2 linked regions of the Daphnia pulex genome follow. Each later gene encodes a partner of the first gene's protein in a complex. Links are inferred from orthologs where the notes say so. Each region holds a gene or a part of one and is shown on either strand. Other genes may lie near its edges.

Evidence for each region. Proteins that work in one complex are often made in the same cells at the same time.
Region 2: transcription initiation factor IIA subunit 1-like (region 1) and DNA-directed RNA polymerase II subunit RPB3-like share a complex: the UniProt entries of both Homo sapiens proteins name them as parts of the TBP-based Pol II pre-initiation complex. The link is inferred for Daphnia pulex from reciprocal best matches to the Homo sapiens genes GTF2A1 and POLR2C.

Annotation. Positions count from the first base shown.
Region 1 is NC_060018.1:12,588,317-12,595,347, reverse strand, and holds transcription initiation factor IIA subunit 1-like, read right to left. Parts: upstream 3,659-7,031; 5' UTR 3,536-3,658; coding exon 3,512-3,535; intron 3,368-3,511; coding exon 3,178-3,367; intron 3,135-3,177; coding exon 3,036-3,134; intron 2,965-3,035; coding exon 2,764-2,964; intron 2,692-2,763; coding exon 2,570-2,691; intron 2,491-2,569; coding exon 2,221-2,490; intron 2,151-2,220; coding exon 2,043-2,150; 3' UTR 1,661-2,042; downstream 1-1,660. Other genes in the region: serine/threonine-protein phosphatase 2A regulatory subunit B'' subunit gamma-like, read left to right, coding at 3,824-3,958, 4,014-4,118, 4,182-4,291, 4,352-4,520, 4,590-4,778, 4,841-4,977, 5,042-5,255, 5,320-5,447 and 1 more; histone acetyltransferase Tip60-like, read right to left, coding at 5,727-5,943, 6,011-6,173, 6,238-6,562, 6,625-6,708, 6,771-6,967. UniProt on the Homo sapiens protein: TFIIA is a component of the transcription machinery of RNA polymerase II and plays an important role in transcriptional activation. TFIIA in a complex with TBP mediates transcriptional activity.
Region 2 is NC_060024.1:10,721,524-10,728,045, forward strand, and holds DNA-directed RNA polymerase II subunit RPB3-like, read right to left. Parts: upstream 4,068-6,522; 5' UTR 3,961-4,067; coding exon 3,875-3,960; intron 3,816-3,874; coding exon 3,469-3,815; intron 3,404-3,468; coding exon 3,341-3,403; intron 3,282-3,340; coding exon 3,135-3,281; intron 3,069-3,134; coding exon 2,887-3,068; 3' UTR 2,816-2,886; downstream 1-2,815. Other genes in the region: transmembrane protein 170A-like, read left to right, coding at 2,127-2,250, 2,335-2,440, 2,503-2,698; neural cell adhesion molecule 1-like, read right to left, coding at 6,173-6,414. UniProt on the Homo sapiens protein: Core component of RNA polymerase II (Pol II), a DNA-dependent RNA polymerase which synthesizes mRNA precursors and many functional non-coding RNAs using the four ribonucleoside triphosphates as substrates.

The DNA of each region.
Region 1 (7,031 bases):
ATCCGATCTCCTCCAACCCTTTCGTCCTGCGTGCTGCAATCTATTAGCTAAAGGATCCCACCCTATTTTTAAAAAGGTCATCATCCAATGAATTCGAAATACAAAACTCGTTTTAATCCCATTATACGGAGGATCTTAATTGAAGCCCTAAGATGATAGGCATCGTAATAACGATGGAGGTTATTTATATAGTCTTGGGATAACACTCGAGGGATCCGCTGTCATCGCATAAGCGAATAACTCAACAACGTCAAGCTGTTTAATTCCCAAAAACTTTTTCCATCCAGTGAAAATATTTAGATTCGTTCTCCCGAAAATGACTAAAAGCTATTACGCCCTTCAAAAAAGTTGTGTTGTTTTCTCATGTGCTTATAGGATACTGCTGTTGTTTTTAACATGCACTTAAACAATGGCTCGACGAATAAAGGGTGAATTCTAAGTGTGACATGGTGGAATCATTTAATTATAAGATTAATTGGACTTTTCACTTTTAAAGTTTCACATTTAAGAGATGCGAACTTTCGACCAAAGTTGCCACTGTAACTTGACTGATTGTATGTTTTTAAAACCATTTTTTCGTGCGATATAATTGACTCAACTTTTCGTGTCAAATCGGAACTATATGACCTGATTTAGATTTCATGGAATCAAAGGCAATTAATTGTCTAATTATACACGCACGGACGATCACCATAGCGACGTGAAATGGTTTTTTGTAAAACTGGTGAGTAGGTCTACTTGTTCTAATTAATGACTTAGGTTCTTCCATCATCACATTAAATAATAGTCATTATTTTAACCAAATTATTTCCATGATTTTTATAGTTTACAGGGTCCTTCCAATTGCTGGGGTATACGTGAACAAAGTTACATTTCGGCATGTGTTTTAAGCATGTGCGTGACTGGTTGGCCGTCTTTTGTCGTCACCACTTGAAAAACATGGAACCATCCATCCGGCTAGCTACAGGCAGCAGCAGCAGCCCCCCAACGACTGGGAGCGCTCATTAGGAACGGATGTTGTGACACGCGATTAAAAGCCATCCTGAATATACTGTAAACATTTCACTAGTTCATGTCATATCATTCACATGAAACATGTCCTCCCCTGTGACATCAACCATTTCAAAAAGAAATTTTTGAATTTATTTTCATGATAAGCAGATGGAAGAACGCCCCAGTCCGTCCTTGTTGAAACTTTTCCCCTCGTTTTTTTTTTAGTTTTGATAATGAGTCCAGCAGGTCGAATCCTAAGGTCCTGGCAACAGCAAAGTTCGTTTAGTTTTGTGCTGGTTGCCTTTTAACGGCTCTAGGAAACTTTTTGGCGGACGCCAACAACTCCTACCGCGCTGCTATCGTGTAGAAACTCCATTAACGTGTACCGAATCCAATAGTTGGATGAGCAATTCCCCGGTGATGACTGCAAACGGATGTAAGCTTTTGACCACTTGGTTATTTGCTTTCAAGTCCCCGTACGCTCGCCTGAATGACTTCCCATGTATACAACCTAATCTAGATTTCTTCCGACTAACATTGAAAATGTCCACCACCAACTGTATACGATTACAAGAATTTTTCGGTACCGTAATTAGTAACATTGTCCCCTGGGTCTTGGACTAGTTTTGGGTCACGTTATTAGAATCTTCTCGAAAACTAATTGCAATTCTTGGTAATTTGAACATATATTTTTCTTCTTCTTCTAAATATTCCTGAATCAAAAGGGGGCGACAACAGCTTCTGCAGCGAACAGGGAAAAGATGAGACAAAAAAAGAATTCGGAAAGTTTTGTGTGTTAACAAAAAAAGAGAAACGAAACAAAAGAAGCGAGGGAGGACAAACACGAATGGCTTTTGTTTCTTTGTCCCCAGGTATTTTTTCCTCTCCACCGCTCATCCAACACCCGACATGAAAAAAGAAATTCCGCACATGCACACGCACAGGCACACGAAAAATCCTTAAATTGAAAGCGAAATTCCTCCGGATTGTATTAAATGAAACATTATCTTGATTTTCCCCTAGTAGCGCAATTTCAACCTTGAATATTTTCACCACTCTGCATCACCGTTGGCCTTTTGAAAGACGTAATCGCGACCGTTAATGTTCATGATGCCGTCCTTGAGATGAAACTTCCACCTGTTTCGACTTCTCGTAATCTACAAATAGAAAAAAAAGTCATTTAAAACATTTCAATTCCAATTCGAATGCTAAAATTCAAATCCTTGCCTTGTCGTACTGGCACACGACGACGTTATCAGTTTCAAATAACACTGAGGGATCATCATCAGTCACATCGTCTTCAGAGTTGAGTGGCTCCTCGTCTGCGTTCTCTTCGTTGTCTGCGTCAATCTCCTCGTCGTCATGATCGTCCTCTTCTTCCACGTCGTCATCGTCATCATCTTCAACATCGTCGTCGTCGTCCGAAGAGTCTCCGGGTCCATCCAACTGTGTGACTCCTCCATTGTCAGTTCGCGATTGGCTCCGTGCAGCTGTCGACTACAAAGAAAAGTAATAATGCATTGTACACACATTATTATATACACTTTCGAGTGGATTCAATTTCAACCAATGGTACCTGCAACGCGTTATTAATGTGCTGCTGCAAGACAGTCGTGGCCATTTCAACTGGAAGAGAGAGAGCCGCCGTCACAGCCGGTGAACTCAGGATCGTTTGCAGCTGCGCTCCCGCTGCGCCACCTGTGACATTATTACAAATAGTAAAGAAATTAGATTGGAGCTAGTACGAACGAGATTCAATTGGGAAATAACCTTGAAGAGCATGAGCTGGAACGTGAACAGTGATGCTCTTGGCTGCTGTATGACCTGCTACTCCAGCCTGAGGAGGAACAGTGATTTGGACTGGCACCGTCCTTACTGTTGTCGTAGCAGGGGCTGCAGCTGCTGCTGTTGTTGCTGCACCTGTAGCTGCATTAGGGGTAGTCACTGGGGTTTGGGCTGCTGCTGCTGCTTTAGAGAAAATAAAAACAAACAAACAAAACAATTAATAATAATGCACTCAATGTAACAGTATACCCAACTACCTGGTTGCTTTGCCGTAGTGGCTGCCTGTTGAGGTGTAGAATTGTTCGCAGGAGCTGTAGAGCTAGCCTGCTGACCTGCTTTTGACGGCAAAGAAGACCCTTTTTTCATACATGATAAAGTCTCATAATCGATATTGGATACTTTGTTGCAGTTTGCTTTGGAGAGAAGTTTCAGCAGGATCGGTCACAGGGTCGATTGCTTTGCTGGACTGCAATTTGTTTTCCCAATTCTGCTTCAATTCGAGAAGTACAGCCTCATCGATTCCTTCGTCAAGAAACGCCTCTCGAACCCCGTTGATAACATCTTCAATAACGCCACGATACAGTTTCGACTACAAAAAAAGAAATATAAAAGTCCTTAATTAGACCAACGAGGAGTGAGATCGAGCTCGTGGAGTGGAATCGTCAATGCAACAACAGTTTCCAGGTACTATTCCCCATGAAATATTATCATAAAGTAAAAGGTAAATAAATACCACGAGTGCCTGATTGGCGGCCATTCTTTAACGAAATTGAATTTTATTTGATTTCAATTCCGGGAGGGCTTCGTTCAACAGGAAGCCGACATGAAAACTAAGACTGACGCGGCAATATATATCGAAATGCCCCCGATGGCAGCGCCACGAAGCGTGATTTTGGCTAAGCATAGCATCTAGCGGTCGAAAAAAACATTCTTTCTGCTAAAAGTAAAGCCGTTTGTTATCGTTTCGACACGTTTGAATCGAATGAACAAGAAACGTTTTTATTAGCGGCCTAAGTCTCAGTATTCGTTGATTTTCATCAACGAGATGGATGAAAAATCCGAGATTTTGGTTTTAAACGCCGAAGATGAAGATACCTTCCAAAAGTTGTATTCCGAAGGTCTCAAATATAGCAAGCAATGCTCGGAAGAAAGCATGCCAGTTCCAAAGTTCTATACCAAAGTAAGCATAACTTCCAATTGATTCCCTATAAATTTCTTATGTTTTTGTTACACAGCTTCCTAATCATGAAAACATGATTAGCCTTAAACTGAGAGAAGAAGCTAGAACAGCATTCCTTCAGAAGAAGAGCAAAGAACTCCTCGATAACAATGAACTGCAGGTTTGTTAATGTCATTGCCAGTGTTTGTGCTACTGGTAAATAAGATTTTCATCCTGTCTTTAGAATCTCTGGACTTTACTTGACAAAAATCACAGCCCTCCTGCTGGTTCTGAGCAGATGATCAATTATATTGATTTTCTCAAAGTAGGCAACATAGCTGGTCCAAAATATAAGTAAGACATGTAAATATTTGATTGGGAACACCAAGTTATTTTTTGAATTCCCCTATACAGAGCATTCTTTACACCAGATGTATTTGCAAGGCTATTGCAGAATGATATTCATGGCAGAATATCAACCATGGCAGTGTTCAATTACATCATGAGGAAAGTTTGGTTACAGCAAACTAGAATTGGTCTTTCATTATATGATGCCACAGGACAAGGTCTGCTTACTGAAATGGTGAACATCAGCAATATGTTTTTTGTTTTTGCAATATGTAATTTACTTATCTATTTTTGTTTTTCCCAGGATTTAGAGAACTACATAACTGAACTTATCCCAACATTGCCACAGTTAGAAGGGCTTGAAAAGTCATTCCATTCGTTTTACGTCTGTACCGCCGTACGCAAGTTCCTCTTTTTCCTAGATCCATTAAAGCTAGGCAAAGTCAGGATACAGGATATTCTCGCTTCTGGTTTTCTGGACGAACTTTTAGAGGTATTTAGTATATTCCTGATTCTTTTGTCATTCTTCTCGCTAAAAATATTATAATTCATCAGCTACGGGATGAAGAGCTGCCCAAAGATGCACAGGATTCAAACTGGTTTTCTGCGCCCTCCGCTCTGAGAGTCTACGGTCAATACTTAAATTTAGATACCAACAGAAACGGCATGCTTTGTCAGGAAGAGCTCAGACGGTAATTTACCATATTTCAATTTGCAGTACGTACATTTAAGATTTTTTTTAAATTTAATTTTCAGATTCGGAACTGGCACGTTGACGCGAGTTTTCATTCAACGAGTATTCGAGGAGTGCATGACCTATGAGAAAGAAATGGATTATAAAACGTACTTGGATTTCGTATTGGCCATGGACAATAAAAAGGAACCACAAGCACTTCAGTATTTTTTCCGTTTGTTGGACGTCAATCATCGAAACCATCTCAACACTTTTGACCTCCATTTTTACTTCAAAGTATTAATTTCCTCATTTGACCTTTTGACTTTCTTATCTTGAAAAAAAAAAAAATGCTTTGCAGGGGGTTCAAGAGTTGATGCAGCAGCACAAACAAGAAGTCGTTGCTTTTGACGACGTCAATGATGAGATTTTCGATATGGTGCGTCCTGCCGATCCGTCAAAAATCACTTTACATGATTTGATTAACTGGTAACACACAAAGTTCATTTAGAATTTTTTTAGAATAAGATTGTCATTGAACGTTTTCTGGCTCAGTGGATACGGTGAAACTGTGATCAATATCTTGATTGATTTGGATGGATTTTGGACATACGAGAACCGTGAAGCTGTTGTCGTAACAGACAAGAATAACCAAGAGAAACAGGACATTTGAATTTGGAATTCTTGTACATAGAAATTGTGAGTGTATTTTTTAAAAAAAAGCAAAGAAGTAGCAAGATCGCGGAATGGATTGTAGGTGCGATCTCATCACCATTTCCCTCTTTTGGACCAGTCTTTCGGTGTCCAGTGCAAGCATTTGGGATCGATGTGTAATTTCCATTTCTCTTTGTTTTTTATGCAATTTTTCATCGCTTCTTCGTTCAGAATGAGTACGTACTGCCCCTTGTAGTAATTGATGAGGTTCAAATGCTGTAAGGTGGACACCACGTCCTCTTTTTTAATGCTCGTCATTTCGCAAATTTCGCTATTTAAATTAAAACGAATTCGTTTGTCAACGTGAGCTCTAGAATGAAGTAATTTACATCACTTACTTGATGGTAATTTGAGGACGTTCACCTTCACTGGATGGTTTCATATTCATCAGAATATCACAGATTGTAAAAGCCCAGTAACTGCGATAAGACAGCAACCCTAAATCGGACAGAGGTTTTTCTGGCGAGCCCGTTTTGCCTTCGAACTTGGACAGCTCGTAACCTTTACGTAAACAAAAATGGTTTTAAAAAAATATTTCCCCTTGGGTTTACGATTCTGTACGCACTGAATTCAATAAGAAGTTTTCCATATCCTTTCCGTTGATAGGGTGGTAATGTTAAGATGCAGGCGACATTGTAGTCCTCCGAGCTTTCTTTCTCTTTGCTAAAGTAGCCGACGATATGAAAACCTCGTGCATCCACTTCAGTCATGACGTAAAAGAGGAACGGATCAGTGTCGTAATACAGTGTCTTGTGATCAAGGAACAGTTTCGCTAGCAGGCATAGGTTCTGAGCGTATGCTTTATTTTTACGGCCGTCGATTTCAAAAAAAGAAATTGTCTGTTTGCGGTAAACTTCATTGCCTGGCGGATGTCTAAGATTGCACTTCATCTGTAGAAAAAGTTTAAGGGTTGATCATCCAATTAAAAATATATCGTAAAATTTTAAATTACCAGATGACGTTCTAGACATTTTTCACTTTTCCGGTACTTGAGACAAAACTCGCATATGTAAATACAAGCTTGGTGAACCATTTCCTAATTTTTGAAAAAGAATAGTAAACATTTCGGATCTTTACGTTCGTTAGATGATGACATACCTGAGGGTAGGGTGCGAAATACCAAGGTTTTATTCTGTGTCTGCCGAGTTCAATCATTTGAATATTTTTCATTCGTGTTACAACGTCATCGTGATGTGTAACAAGACTGCCCGACTGACGTGGCCCTGGTGTAGTCGGTGCAGGGGTGGACGGTGGGGCCGGAGAGTTAGCATCTCCTACCTCACAAACTGAATCACCTATGCAGAAAATTTTAGTTTTAATAATCATTTATATATAATAAATAGATTGTAGAAAAAATGA
Region 2 (6,522 bases), on another chromosome or scaffold:
GGACGGTCTGTTTCATAAACAATGTTGTATAAATATGCTTGTTAATCAAGTTGTTATCTATACATATTTAATTAATGAATAACAATTTATAAAATGAAAACATTATATGGTTTTTTATACTTGTTTTATTTATTAAACAAACCGTCCGGTAAAAACTGCAGCCAGTCAAGCAGGGGGAGACACTGCCCGACTGACTCTACCAGGGAGATTACCCGGCCGTGGTTAAGAGAACCCGGAAAAAGAGCGAAGAGAGCTGAAGAGCAGTTATTATGAGAGCAATGCATCATGGTAGGCTTCCGGCTTAGACTCATGACCCTTCAACAGATTTCATCGAATCATGCGCCTTGCAAGTCCCCGTTCGACCAAACATCTCCCTTCCTCCTGGTTGTCGCAGCGAGTGAGTGACCACCGGCGGGCGTTGGTTAGTGGTTATTTAGGGAAACGGGGCCACTGAAGAAGGGAGCCCAGATATGCACCTGTAACTGAACGAAACACCAAGCATTACCTCAACACCTGTACAGGTAACAAGAGACGACATATCGACAAAATGCAGCCGATAAAACAAGACCGACAGCCATCAGGCAACATTGACTAACCCAACTTTTCAACACGGCATATACTGCACGGACACAAATATAGGCAAATGACAAATTTAAGTGTGATGTTGAACTGCAAGTGTGAACAAGAATCCATTTCAGAGCATCTCTCAACTGGAAGGGACTGCAAAACCACTGTAGTCCAAACAGCAACACCGTAAACAGCTCAAACCGACCATGAACTCCTACAAAGCAAAAGAACATTAATGAAACTATATGAAATGTGAAAAAGGGTACTGATAATAAAATTTACTTAATTTAAAATTAACAATTAATTTTAATTGAAAAAGATACCAGAAAAGAATTATGTACATCTACTTCCAATATGTTATAAACTTGTTAATACTGAGTGGGAATTTTTGTTCTAGTTTGATGTGAAGGAAATTGTTAACTCAGTGAAAGGCTGAAAGCTGACCAACAATGTAGCTTCCTTTTGAAGAAACAATTATTTGGAAGAAAAAAATGTTACCCTTAATTTTCTTCATCACATAACTTGTCAGTTCAATCAAAATTAAAAAAAAAAAAAAAAAAAACTCAAGACTTCCCAAGTTACAACCAATAATATCAATCAAATTACCAATTCAAGAAGTTTTCCTGCAGTAACACTAGGGATGGGATAACACCAGCTTGATAAACTGCATGCAGCACCTGCAGCTCAACAGGACTCGACCACACCTTTCCCCAGCTGGCTGCAACAAAAACAAAATTAATGATATGACTGCCATGAAGCTCAGACTTTGTCATGTTCTCAACTTCTACAACAGTTGAGCAAAGTGATCTCCATCTCTGATCTGAAAAATCAACTAATAAAACCTATTGCATTATTGCAGAGAAATTGATCAACAAAATTTACTTTACTAGCTCTGAAGTGTTTCTGCACGAGATGAGACGTACAGCTAACAATGACCGACATTTCGACAAAATGGACAACAGTTTCGACCCACGTCGTTACATTATTTGGCCAAGTGAAACTATATGCCAAAATTGCCTGTAAATTCAGACAGAAACGTCATAGATAAAATTTCATGGCTGAAAATGAAGATTGACACTGTAATTACGTTATGAATTTGGAATACACTTTTGGTCAGCGTCTCGGAAACAAATGACAAATATTTCGTCCTCACGAAGACACTCGCGCCACCTGGTGGATGGGGGAAATCCATTTTAGCCACCTACCGACAGCCAAAAGATTCCCTCACGATAAACGAAGCAAGAGCTAACTATTTTCACCACCAGGTTTTGCTAGCCAGTAGCCACCTTATCTGCCTTTATTTACATTTTCATAGAATCGTGTTACAATGTGTAGCGTACCAAGTTGTTACAATAAGTAAACAATAATGACTAATCTACAAAACAGAACATGTATAATTTAATTTCGTAAGATAGTCAGCTTCCCAGCTATTGGGTGTCTATTTTACGCGTGCTCCGTTGTAAGCTATCATCCATCAATTATTCTTTATCTTGCTATTAGCAAACTGATTTACAACACTGCGACAGATATCGTTCTGAGCGATAACACTGCATAGCAAAATGCAGCTCACTATGATTCAAACACCAATATCTGCTGATGGCTCGCAGTCAACTAGTTCTAACATGGATTTCATCCTCGAAAAAATCTGGAACAAACCAAATGCTCCTCTTGAAGAGTTCTTTGGTATTATTTTTTTTTCACCCACATATTAAATTTAGAGGAAACATGTTACCTATAATAAAAATATTCAATGCCCAATACATCTAGAAATGTGGTACAACGTTTTCTTGTGGGCAATGTTTTCTTCCATCTTCATTCATTCCGTTGCTGCCATAATTGCATTTCTGACATTAAGGAAGCATGCAGTTGGAAGGTAAAATATACCTAAGCATTCCACATATTCTGTTACAACTAAATATAATCTTTTGGCAATAGGTTTTACTCCATCATAATTCTTTTGATGGGAATTATCACACCTCTAACAACAGGTGCAGTGACAAGCGCAGTTGTGTCATTTGTGTATGAAAACTCAGGACTAGTCATGGCTAGATGGCATGTTGCACTTTGGGGTGTGGGACAAACATTCTGCAGTGCTTGTTTTGGCTTCACTAGAATTCTTGCAGTATTATAGATCACCAATGTATTTTTCATATTCACCATATTTTGCTGTGCTACATAAGTTCCTTTTTTACTCCATGTCCACCTGAGATCTTATAAGACAAATTAAATAAGTTTGATGATATTCGGCTTTACTTAATTCTTCGTGTATTAATTGCATTAATACAAAACCATTACAATTATTTCGAACAAAATGGAAAATCAGTTGATGGCGAGGGCATCGTTTTGCACTTCGTGGCTCAATTGGGTCTGCAAATCAGAAAGTTTCTTCTTGAGAATAGCGATTCCCATTAAGACAATATTTTCTGGTCGTAAAGATCCACAAGATTCCACGTTAACAAAAAATTTGTTAGGTTTGCCATCAGGATCGTATGGGGCTTCATCTAAAAATAAATAAATAAAAATTCAAATAAAACTAGTTAAACCATAAAAATTCGTTTAAAAATTACGTTGATCTGATTCGCCCAGCTCCGAATATTCACTCCTTGGCCATTCTTCAGGTTTCGGGAACAAAGTATGCCTCAATGAATTATCAGGGTCGTACTCAAAGGCCACTCCAGCTGTTGGATTCCATTTTGCATGTTCTTTACCAAAACCTAAAAAAAAATATATATTTTCAAGAAGGAGAAACAAATTGAACTGCAACAAAATTTACCTTTCTTGGCATATGCCCGCATTTTGAGTTCTTGTCCTTTACGAAGCTTGACAATTAAAATTTCTAAAACAAACAAAAAAATTTATAATCAAACTCAGATTCCAAACTTTAGAAATGTTCTGCAGTACCATTATCATTGTCATCTGGTGGCTCTTCATCCCGTTTGGAGGTAGCTGGAACCACTCTTGGATCAGTACTCTTTAGATCAGCAGTGGTGACATTGCGTGTAACATCCTCAGAACATTTAACATCCAAAGTGAACTCCACTGAGCAATCAACACAGAAATCTGGACAAGTGCAGTCTCTGGAATACTGCATCTTTTCAACAGAGTCATCACTAGTCAGTGGAATAAGACCCACACGATGTGCCAAAAATTCATCAAACAAGACAGTGGAATTTGCTTCAAACTGGACCCAATCAATGGCTAATGTAGGGGTTTCAGCAATGAAGACTCGCCTCAGAGAGTTTGCTACACTGAAATGTGATAAAGGCATGATATAAATGTTCTCATTACCAACAATTTAAGTAAATACCTAAGGTCTGTGTCTGAAATCTGAAATTTAACATTTTCCTCTGTTAGTTCGGTCAATTTGAGATTTGGTTGATTGGCGTAGGGCATTCTTAAGTAAGTTGTATTATTCAAAACAACAAACGTTAAGAATAATTACTTGCCGGCTTCTCGTTTCGACTCTCGCTTCCTTCTGCAAGTCTGCAACAAGCTAGCCCAAACAATGAGTCGTGTACAAGAACCTCCTTATTCTGTCACCAGATGGCAGGTATTACGAAGGCTGTGCGGGAAAATTTCATTTTTCTAAAAATTGAAATTTTTTCTAAAATTTTGGAAGTTTAATGTTGAAGATGTTGATTGCGTATTATTGGTTTGTAGATTTATTTTTTGATGAAAGAATTCGATACACCGTTTCCATTATTTAGAAATTGTTTCGACTAAATATTGGGAAATATAAACCATGTTTTGTTTTCCTCTCCTATCGCGCATCAGAATGTGCGCCGCTTTTAACGGCTTAACCAACGTAAATTGACTCACCAGACTGTTCATATTTATTTTGAAGTGCAATTCACTTTTTGAATACAGTGTTGAAATAGTTATTGTTTATATTTAGATATCATAACTTGGCTTTCTTCAGATTTTTAACTTGTGAAATTCTTTTCGGTTCAGGTGCGACGAAATGGCGTCAAACGAATCGTCCGATCCAAGGTCCAAAAAGTTACCGGTATCGAAGGAAGTACAGGAAGTTCGCCATGATGGATTGAGGATCTGATGACACGTCACCCAATATTACGACATTCCAATTGCGCGGGTCCCAATCTGGAAGAAACTTTGGCTAAACGCGGTTAACTGTTTAGAAAGAATTTTTTTTTTTTCAATCAACGAATAAAAATCTCATTCTAGATGACAGTTGTATGTTTGGCATCACGGAAATATTACACAGCTAATGATATTAAAATAAAAAAAATGAAAAAATAAAAACTACACGCATATCATAATAATTAAATGATGAGAACCCAAAGTTATTTTTATCAAAATGTGGTGTACAGCCGGAAGTGTGGGAAATATAAGGAAACATAAAAAAAGAAATTTTTTGACATGTACATAAATTTAAAAAAACCCAAGGTTACGTAAGGATAATGCAAAATTCCGCAATCTCTCTTTCTCAAAAAAAAGAAAGAAAAATCTAAATTTATACCAAATGAGTATCTGTTTGTTTTTTTCAATACCGTATGCAAATTGTATGCATTATGCACATCGACGTCGGTTCTTTTTCACTTGAAAAAGAAAAATGAAGGAAACCAATACTCGAAGGTAATCATATCGTTTCTTGCCGTCCAGTTTTTGAATTCAAATTATCATTCAAAATCTACGAAACGGGATCAATTTTCATCGTAGAATAAAAAAGGAAAGCGAACAGAGTCGAGGGATCAAAAGTAATTTGAACATTGTACATCCCCCGCTGTATATTCCCCCCCCCCCAACACACCAGTAAACTTTGACTTTTTAAAATACAAAAACCAAAGATTATGTCATCAAACGCGTCAAAAGCCATGTAATATTAAGGACTGAGCTGAGGAGGGACGATTGGGGCAAAGGTAGAGAGTAGGAGCTGCTAAATCCTTGCCATTCGATATACTTAGTTTATAGGTGTCTACCTGGGGGGCTTCTCGAAGGAAATGCTAAACACACACGTAAAGCCATAGAGATATAAAGTTGGAGGAACTGGTATAAGGGGGAGGATGAGAGAACGGCCACTCAATATTATTCTAATTAGCGCACAATATTTCTGGAACCGAGGGTTATTATATAAGAGGAAAAGAAAAAATATGTACAAAAAGATTACTATCATCTTTAAAAAAAAATCTTATCAGGCCCCAATGAAAGAAATATATGAATCAAAATTAAAATTTTTAAAAATTCGGCTTTTTATTTTGTTTGAAAAAACTTATATCAGCGCTGGCCTCCCTTAATTTGATTTTTTTTGTTTTTATTTTTATTATTTTTATTTTAATTTTCTTTACAAACTGATTGAGAGAGATGTGTGACGAGTAAAAAAAAATGAGTCGGGGGAATAAAATGGAGTCCTCAAACTCAAAACTCCTCATGATAGAAAAAAAAGAGTTTAAACTTAATTCCCTCCGTTATTTTGTTTTACTTGGAAAAAAGAAAGAAAGTAAATTCGAATTGATAAGAACGGCTTTTGTATGTATAGCTGGGGGGCTGGGCAACGGTTGCGAAGGAGAATTTTCCCTTTTATCTTTTGAAATATTTCTAGAATAAGAAATAAAATAAAATAAAATAAAAAAATGGTAACTCGTATTTAGATGTAGATGTTGGCGGACGCCAGTGCGGCGATCAATAGAGTGAGGAGCGAGTGACAGAGTAGCTGCTGCTGGGCCGGAGCTGAGTTGAGAACGGGCACGGCCGCGGCTACGAGTTTCTTGGTTTTCTCGACCTGGACGTCGGCGTAGTCTCCGGTGCCGGCCGCAGTGCGTGCTGCAACCCTCACTTCGTAAGTCGTATCCTGCTGCATTCCGGCGACTCTGTACGGCTGGCTGGGCACTGTTTTATGTCATCAAGTTAACGACAAAAACAAGAAAAAACAAAACACACACAGACGGATTTAGGCATTAGAATCTGAAACTTTTTCCCAGCTGATGTAGTAGAAAC